3 linked regions of the Kluyveromyces lactis genome follow. The protein of the gene in region 2 interacts with the protein of the main gene of each other region in a pairwise test. Links are inferred from orthologs where the notes say so. Each region holds a gene or a part of one and is shown on either strand. Other genes may lie near its edges.

Evidence for each region.
Region 1: the proteins of CUE5 (region 2) and ATG8 interact in binary tests that used the Saccharomyces cerevisiae proteins (3 or more experiments, as listed by UniProt). The link is inferred for Kluyveromyces lactis from reciprocal best matches to the Saccharomyces cerevisiae genes CUE5 and ATG8.
Region 3: the proteins of CUE5 (region 2) and RSP5 interact in binary tests that used the Saccharomyces cerevisiae proteins (3 or more experiments, as listed by UniProt). The link is inferred for Kluyveromyces lactis from reciprocal best matches to the Saccharomyces cerevisiae genes CUE5 and RSP5.

Annotation. Positions count from the first base shown.
Region 1 is NC_006041.1:1,828,470-1,830,571, forward strand, and holds ATG8 (ubiquitin-like protein ATG8), read left to right. Parts: upstream 1-1,227; coding exon 1,228-1,602; downstream 1,603-2,102. Other genes in the region: RTT105 (Rtt105p), read left to right, coding at 158-721.
Region 2 is NC_006042.1:1,483,879-1,487,172, reverse strand, and holds CUE5 (ubiquitin-binding protein CUE5), read left to right. Parts: upstream 1-1,506; coding exon 1,507-2,790; downstream 2,791-3,294. Other genes in the region: hydroxyacylglutathione hydrolase GLO4, read left to right, coding at 1-767. UniProt on the Saccharomyces cerevisiae protein: Connects the ubiquitin pathway to autophagy by functioning as a ubiquitin-ATG8 adapter and thus mediating autophagic clearance of ubiquitin conjugates under starvation conditions.
Region 3 is NC_006041.1:1,196,656-1,200,932, reverse strand, and holds RSP5 (NEDD4 family E3 ubiquitin-protein ligase), read right to left. Parts: upstream 2,801-4,277; coding exon 341-2,800; downstream 1-340. Other genes in the region: DSE1 (Dse1p), read left to right, coding at 3,747-4,277. UniProt on the Saccharomyces cerevisiae protein: E3 ubiquitin-protein ligase which accepts ubiquitin from an E2 ubiquitin-conjugating enzyme in the form of a thioester and then directly transfers the ubiquitin to targeted substrates.

The DNA of each region.
Region 1 (2,102 bases), on a different chromosome or scaffold from region 2:
CAGTTTATGAAGTTAATCGAACAAAAAACCATATCTCTAGACCAGCATCATTAAACGCCAAAAGGATTAAGGTTATTTCTATGTACGCTGGGGAAAGAAGCCTGGAGCAGGCCGTCCGGTGTATTGCAGACGTTAATCCACAACTTTGAAGCTCTACATGAACTGTATACCGAGCAGTCCGGTTCATGGCAGATATCACGAAGAAGATAGCGATTCCGATCTTGACAATGTCCAAAGTAACGATGGAAGAGCCGATTCTAATATCACTGATGAAATATTGGAAGAGCGAAAGCTCAAATATCAAAGGTACAAGCAACCGTTATCATCATCGTCCCCCATTAGAGACCTTATGAGAGAAAGAAGGAAGGGCAGACTACGGGAACTGGCAAGAGAGAAGAAGATCAATAGCTACAGAAACGACATGGAACAATTCGTCATGGAACAAGAATACCTACGACACTTGCAAGACATGCAACAAGAAGCACAGAAACACGAGATACCGCCAGATGAGATTGATAGACTGGTAGAAGATGAAGGAGAGGTCGTGAATAGTGCCGATGAACCCGCTATGTTGAATAATATTTCCACAAAGAGGGAGCCAAAACAGCTAAATGAGGATGAAGAGCTGATACGGCTGATAGAACTGCAGGAAGAGTACGAATCCTTGATGGAGCAAGAACAACAGGAGCTCGAGGAAACCTTATCTGGCTTTAGCATATAGAGCAGCAGCTTCCACACATATATACGTACATAGTATTGTTACCCGGATATCACGTGATTCATTTTCTGTCTTTCCCACGTGACTTAAGGGTCAACGGCATCTCAAACCGTTTAAGGGGGGAACACTTTTGTTTTGTCATTTTCCAAACAGCAGAAAGGGTATAAAAAGGGAACACACGCGAAGATCAAAGCGGCGCATATCATCGATAACTAAACAAAGAGCGTTTTTCTTAGCTACCCAGTAATCTGTTTGAGTTTTGCAAGAAAAGTGCAGTACAGTGCTATTACGTGCAAGTTTTTTTCTTGAGAGAGAGAAAGAACCAGAAAGACGGATAAAAAGAGACACAACACGATTCAAGAGTTGGAACAAATCAGCTAGACTTTTGAAAGTTAAGTTACAAACATCTTTTCGGGTTATTAGTTTGAAATAGAGACAGGAGAATATTTCAAGAGAGTTTGATTATTTTTATCGGTGTTACGTATTATAGGAGAGAGTTTTAAAACGCAATGAAATCTGCATTCAAATCTGAGTTCCCATTTGAAAAGAGAAAGGCTGAATCTGAAAGGATAGTGCAAAAGTTCCATAACCGTATTCCAGTGATCTGTGAAAGAGGTGGCAAATCGGATATTCCAGACATTGATAAACGCAAATATTTGGTGCCAGGAGATTTGACTGTTGGCCAATTTGTTTATGTAATTAGAAAGAGAATCAAGCTACCTGCTGAAAAGGCTATTTTCATCTTTGTCAATGATACTTTACCTCCAACAGCAGCTTTAATGTCTTCTATTTACCAACAACACAAGGATAAGGACGGGTTCCTTTATGTATCCTATTCGAGTGAAAACACTTTTGGTGACGATGCCCTGTTTTCTGAGGAATGAGATTAAGTTAAACTTTCTTCCCTTTAAGTTTTCTTTTATGATTCCATTAGGTTGTTCTGCTTGATGCAAAACAAGTAACTAATGCACAATTTTGAACCAGATATTGTTGAAAAGATGATCTAAAAGAAAGAACCTGAATAACAATATTGAAGTGATGATAAGATGAAATGCATTGTCGAATGTCTACGATGCTATTATTTTCTATTCTTCCACACCTTTTGCTCTAGATATATACCGAAGCAGTATTTGAAATCTTTCTGATATGTTTTCCCTTCTATTTATCCTATTCTCATATTTCTAGCTGCAACAGTTCCCTAGATCTGGACAAAGCGTTGCTTATAATACCTGCTGATGAAGTCATATGTTGCCGTTCCATAATGAAATCTCTAGGCTTTTTTTTTTCACTTCGAAAGAGGTTCTTCATAAATATACAATTTTATATACCTCTTCAGCAGATTGCAGGTCGAAATTCGGTTTAATATATTCTTTCCATAACCAAA
Region 2 (3,294 bases):
TGAGCACCCAGGATAAGAAAAAGAGTTGGTTGATCGATCCTGCTGAGACATTGGAAGTGATGAATGATCTTGGCAGTGATGAAGCAAAAAGCATTGAAGCTCTTGTAAACACTCATCATCACTATGATCATGCTGGTGGCAATGTGTCAACACTTGCAGCCTTGAATGAAAAGGGCAATAATATATCTCGAGTCATTGCCGGTTCTCAACGTTCTCCAATTGCGAATGATATCCCAGATAACTTACATGAATACACCTTGGGGAACTTGAAAATCTTGTGTATTAGAACACCTTGCCATACCCAAGATTCCACTTGTTACTACGTGCGTGACCCTGAAACCAAAGAACAAGCAATCTTCACCGGTGACACTTTGTTCACTGGTGGATGTGGGAGGTTTTTCGAAGGAACTGCTGAAGAAATGGACGATGCATTGAACTTCAGACTACTAGGGAATACAGGAGATACTTCCAATTGGAAGAATGTGAAAGTATATCCAGGTCATGAGTATACTGCAGGAAACGTAAGTTTCATCCGCAATTACATATACTTGAAGAAAAGCGATAACGACCATTTCAATAAATTGGAATCTTTTACCAAGGAACACGAAGTCACCACTGGTCACTTTACCATTGCCGATGAACTATCATTCAATCCCTTTATGAGACTTGATGATCCAATTGTTAGAAGACAAGTCGGAGATTCTCAAGGTTGTTGGACCAGAGCCCAAGTTATGGACAAGTTAAGAAACATGAAGAACAAGGCATGATACATGACATGTCCACACTATATGTATTTATTAAGTAACGCCTTACAATTCGTTTATGAGTGATCTACGGTAAAAAAATAGGCTTAAGTGAAAATGTGCGTGAAACATAGAGCGATCTTAGAAACCCATCCCAAAATTTTCGAGTCTTAAGAGCCTGGATGCAAAACATCCAGTTCATACGAACCAGCAAGCCGGCACGAATTCAGCCCTATGTTAAACTATATGCCAGAAAGTTTTTTTTAACCAACGGCATCTAATTTCTCTCTGTTGTCCACGCTCGACGATGTATCAGGTTAGAAGGACCCCTGATCGCCAAGTTCTTATCTAAACAGAGAATAATAAGATTCCGAGGAGTTAGGAAAAAAAAACAAATATATCAAGATCTATAAAGGTAAAATGACAGAGTGATATAGTATTAAGAGAGATTACAAGCACCTCTTTAAAGTCTTCCTCTTTATATAGTCCAAACTATTTTCTTCAACTTTGACGTGATGAGATGAAAAAGTGAAAAAAAATAAGGCCCTTACCCGGATAACCGAATGGACAGGATGATGTGGGAAAGAAATAGGAATTATAGGAAGAATATATATAGATTCTTTAGGACTGCAAAACCAGAACCCCTATTAGAACATATCCGTGCAGAATCTCGCCAATATTCAATTACAGAACCAACCAGGATATTAGAAGAAGATAAATTACAGGTGCAAATTCTTTTTGATTAGAAAGATCTAATATAACCATGAGTGACAAAGTTGAAGACGTCGCAATTGACGTTGATTCTAATGAAGACAAGAAGATCGAAGATGTCAAGGAAACAGTTGAAGAAGCGGCAACTAAGGCTTCAAATGTAGAAGCAGAAGTTCCAGCAGACACTGAAACCGAAACAGAGAACGTGAAAAAAGCTGAAAAACAGGAGGAAGGGCAAGATCACGGTCAGGAGGACGAGGACGATTCAGCACCTCCCTTGCCTGTAAGAAAATCGGTTTCTCCAGAAGAACAGAGTGAAAAGGAAAATCCTATGTTAAAACAATTGAAGGAAGCGTTCCCAAACATTGAGGAGAAATATGTGAAGGCAGTGTTAATTGCTTCTCAGGGCCAGTTGGATCCTGCTTTCAACGCTCTTTTATTCATATCGGACCCTGACTTTGAAAAAGAGGCTCCATTACCAACTAGACCGGTGCAAGCGCCAACTCGTGGTGTAAGACGTGAGCCAAAAACGCAGTTAGAGCAGGACGAAGAATTGGCTCGTCAATTGGATAAGAAATTCAACAAACATGGCAATAGCGCTTCGGAGAGAACCGCACGCGAGCGTAGAATCAGACAACGTGAACGTGATTACGAGAGGAGGTACGGAGCAGGTGCAATTCCACCAAAGGGAAGACGTGATTCTGACGGCTATGACAATTTCGAAGATGACGGTGAAGACGATGTGTTCAGTAATTTCGTCGATAAGGAGTTACCCCAGATTCGTGAAAATTTGAACCGTAATATCCAGGAAACTGGTAAAAAGATCAGTACATGGTTCAGTGGCATCACCAAGAATCTGGTGGATGACGATCCAAATTATTCCGAATCCCGTCCAAAATATTCTCAGTCGAGGTTTAACTCCTTCGGAGATCGTTACCGTGATGGCAATGACAACGTCGATGGCCAAACGAAATTACAAAATGCTGGGATCTCATTGCACAACGATGATCTAGATTTTGGATCTGATGACGATATCCCACCCCAATTACCATCAAGGGCCAAGAAAGTCGTAGCAGAGACAACATACATAGACACTCCAGAACAAGTAAGGGGTAAGAATAACCGTTCTCCTTTGAAAACCTTGGCACCGCACAGTGAATCTCCAACAAGATCCACACCCACTTCTAAATTAAACACAAGCACGGACAAAACTGCCTCAACCGAAGAAAAATCCGATGTAAAGCTTGTAACTCCAACTGCAAGCAATAAGAACACAGAAGGGCCAATCACGTTAGAAGATCAAGATATTATCACAGATTCTGATTTGGATATTTAATCGCAGGTTGTGTTTGTACAACTGACCACTACTTAAATATTATTTCCTCAAGCAACAAGACGTATATTTACTACTTCCAGAACACAGTTGTCACCACATCGAGTATTTTAAAAAAATTCAGCTATTGTTGTACATGTTTATCTTCAATTGAAATTTAAACTTTCAGATAATGTAGATAAGGTTAATAATGATATATCTCATCATCTCGAGGGGATACCTGTGTTTAGTTAGGTAAGACATTTTACATGAATCCACATTCAGTAATGATTCTTTTGATCCTTCAAAAGATAAAAAAACACACAAATCAAGATGTAATTGAACCATCACAACTGAACGTATTCAGAGACAAGAATATGTGTGGCACCTACCCTTCACTTATTCCTGTTCGTTCAATGTTCCAGCCACGTAGAGGAAACTCGGCTACTTCTTATGAAGGACATCATCTCATCCTCTTATATAGGAAAGACCAATAAAATTTTCAGTTTTTCCCTGTTACTAAAATTC
Region 3 (4,277 bases), on a different chromosome or scaffold from region 2:
AATTTTCGTTATTATCCCAAAATTTAAGCTGGATATATCAATCTCTGGGCAATTACAAAACTCCGTCGGTTAGGAACCAGATACTTCGTTGTCAATTGCTTCCCACATTATAGCATACCTATATAAAGTAACACCTGATAATGGCAATAAAATATAACAAAGCACCATAAGTTGAGGCCTAACGAGGTTAAGAAAAAAATTTCTATGTAATAATATACACATGTTTTGGCAACAATATATCTATAACATATATATGTCTGTGCTTGTGTTTGTGCTTGCGCTTTCTGATTGAATAATTGAGAAGGTGCAGGGTATTGAAAAGATTGAAAGATTCATTCAACTACTCTTGTCCAAATCCGATGGTTTCTTCCACTGCTAATGTTAGCTTCTGCTTGAAAGATTCATAATCAGTGTATGGTGGAAGATCCACTCTGTTGAAACAAGTGTGTGACTTGGGTAGTTGTTGAACTTCACCTGCTTTTTCGATAGTGAATCTTCTTGGACCATCAGAACCTTGCAAATCTTTGAATCCATTGACCGGGATACGCGATGTACCAGTTGTGAATTGTAACAAACGTGCTCTTTGCTCGTTGTCCCATTCAGTGATACATTTCCAGAACCACTGGATAACTTCGTCAGACTCTTGGTATCCACGATAATCTGTGTGTTTTTTCCAGTCTTCAACATCAATTTCTGCAATACCACCAATCAATAATTCAAGTTCACGTTCATCAAACACGTTGACTAGATCTTCAGGAACCAATTCGTTAAATCCATCCATAAATGCCTTAAATTGTTCTTGAACTCTGTCTGCGATCCTCCATTGGGTATATAGTTCAACATATTCTTTCTTGTTTTCATCTGTGACTTCGATTTCTCTGCCGTTTGGTTTCAAATCGACGACAACCAGTTCACCAAATCTTTCATCATCAACATTAAATGTTAGATCTAAAATGCCATCTATGCTATTTTCTAAAATCCATTTCAAGGAGTTGTAGACTTCTGAATCGACACCTTCCATATCTTGTAATACTACCTTCTTTCTTAGCATCATCTTATATAGAGCACCAACGAAGAATGCATCCAAGAACCTTCTATGGAATACACCTAAACCGACGACTCTACCAATGAACTTGAAGTAGTTCAAATGCTCAGGGTTGATACCACTGTTTGGATTGATTTGGATAGTATAGTTATCATGGGCAGAATATTCAAATAGACAGTAGAAGGGATTAAACATCTCGTGTGATAGTAAAAAGAAGAATTCTCTTGAAACACCACCATAATCTAAACCTTCTTCACCGTCAAATTTGATCATTAGTCTCTTCTTTAAGTCTTCTGGCGTTTGTCTCATTATTTCTTGGTAAGAATCTTCGAAGATATTCTTTCTGCGTACTCTGATGTGACATTGACCTGGTAGAATTCTTAAAGCCGGTTGGGATCTGAAGTAAATAACCTTACGTCTGAAGTCACGCTTATACTGTGGAACGTTTTGATCCAAGGAAGAAGGTAATCTAGGATCATCCCAAGTGGTGGTCTTAGTGTTATGGTCAACGAAGTATACACGGGCTGTGTTTGTCAATCTCATCTCCCAACCAGAAGGCAAAGGTCCTAACTGAGATACAGGTTGTTGTTGTATGGTATTTGTGGAAGGCCCATAGGTTCTAATATATTGTTGTCTTCTTGGATCGACCCATGTCGTGGTTCTTGTGTTGTGATCAACGAAGTACGCTCTTCCTTCAGGAGTGAACCGTTGTTCCCAACCTGGTGGAAGTTCACCCAACCCCGATGTGGTACCCCCAGTGGCAGCAAAAGTAGCAGCTGCTGAACCGTTTACGGCAGGAGTTTGAGATCCAGTACCGGTATGAACAGCAACGTTTGATGAAGACGAGCCCTCTGATTGAGCACCACCATCAGGTAAAGTTCTTCCTCTGTGTTGTCTACGTTCTAGTTCGGTGTTGACACGTTGAACCTCGGATTGATCCAAAGTGGGTCTTTTCCATGTTGTTGTCCTTGTATTATGATCCACATAATATGTTCTTCCAAAGTTATCCGTTCTTCTTTCCCATCCTGGGGGTAAACGACCATATTGATCTTCAAACGATGAGTATTGCCTGCTAGCTGACGATTGAGATTGAGCTGTCGAAGGTTGACCGGATGGAGCAGCATCACTTGAACCGGCACCTGAACCTGAACTGGCGGTACCTGCAGCATTCGCAGAATCCTGGTTGTCTAATGTAGTAGTTTGCAAGTTGTTAGCAACAGTCTGAGCAATCAATCTGTTGTCGATAGTGGAAGCGTTCGTCATCGAATCCGATTGACGAGCTGCTCCGGAACCAGCAACAGCACTACCTGCGGCACCAGCAGCTCCATTACGGCTGCCAGCTCTGGGGAGAACCGTCAAAACCAATATTATTCTACCACTTACTGACAACCCGTCGTTAGAACGTTTTAAATCTCTAGTAATAGTCTCTTCACGAGCTCTACCGTTCGAAGTGGCAGTATCTTCGTCCAAGTGACCCAGAATGTCACCAATACGAACGTTGACAACACCTAGGAACCCTTGATCTTTCTTCTTGAACTTTTTCTGATCAAACACTTGAACAGTTAAGATCGAATTTTCACTCACATTTTTGAATTGAAATACTTCATTCCAGTAGGGATTCAACGTCTTCTTTGCAGCCGCTGTGGATTTCGTCTGAGAACCATCGATAGTCAAAACTGCAAACGGATCAGGAGATCTAAACACATCCCTCCTGTTCAATGACTCAGCAGCCACTAGTTTCACAGAGATAGACATATTTCGCAGCTTTTTATTTTTTTAATGGTTTGTCAATTTCAAATCCGATAATTTCTCCTTCAAAGTGGAATCTCAATAACAAATTGAAAAGTCTTCAAACACTAGATATCTGATAAGTGGTAGTAACAGCAATAATTATTAAACAAATAAAACCGCCCGAGAAAGCCTATAAGGTTTTATTTTTTGTCTTTTGTCTTCTTTAATTGTCGTAATTGCAAAGAAACAGAACAGGAAACAGAACCAGAAAAAAAGTTGATGATTCCTCTAAAAAGAAGCAAAGAAAAATCAGATCAATACCTTGCTCAATACCCTTTTCCGTACCGTCCTTTTTGCCACTGTCAATGCACGTTTGCTTATCCTCTAGCACCTTGATCTGATGATTAAATCGGATGTTGTTTGCAAGTAAAGTATCTTTGTTCTTGTTTTGTTTCCTTAATTAAAATATGCAAATCACAATTTTCTTTTCTCCTTTACTTGTCACGTGAGGAGATTGAAACCTGGAAAAAGAGTACTAAAGAGGGATACCAGGCTACGCCGAGTATGTCAGTAAATTCGGAAACGGCATTAATGGCGGTGGTAGCCACCAGGTTGCAAGAATCTGCCGTATTGCTGTCAGATGACGTGCATATGGGACGATTATGGGCATCACGTGACAAAAATCATATCGTCCAAAATGACATAAATATAAACAAGCCTTTGCCAGCTTTAAAGATGCTGGGTTTGTTTACAGGTAAACAAACCTCTTGCAAACATAAACAGGATGTTTGCTCATATGGCTGCCTAACACACTCAATAGGTAACGTGCCTTTCTCTAATTTTTGTTGCTTGTTCTGCGTTTGGTCCTATTTTTGATTGGCTCAGTGTTTGCTAGTGCTATTTTTATTTGCCCTGTATCATATATAAACATGTCGTTTCTAAAAGTGACCAGCTCTTACTCCTCTAATGGATGTACCTGTTAACAATCAATTATTCTCTGCAGTGCAAACATTACACAAAGTCAAATAAGAAACTGTATATTGCGAAAATTATGACTGAATTCTACAGGGCTCCAGAGATATTCAGACAGAACGCCATCATCGTCAAGAAGAGTAGAAGAGATATTAGCGATGACGAGAACAGTACTATTGTCAGGCGGAATTGCAAGATAGAGGCTTCGAAATTGAACAGTTCCTTGCTAAGGAAGGTTAGTGGTGATTTGAACGATGTCATTGTCACGAAAAAATTGAAGACAGATTGTTGGAAACTGTCAGAAGACACTAGGGACGTCACTTCAATGTCATTGGATAGGGACACCATTCTACTTTCCACATCACAGACATCGGATAATTTACAGTTGTTCCAATTGCGGAATAATGAAATTAATGAGCAGGCTCGCGGTGGGAAATTGCTCCATAGTTTACAAACCATTACTGTTCCAGGAAAATCTATTCTGGCTACAGATATCATGCAATCGCAGAATAATGACACCGTAGTTTCC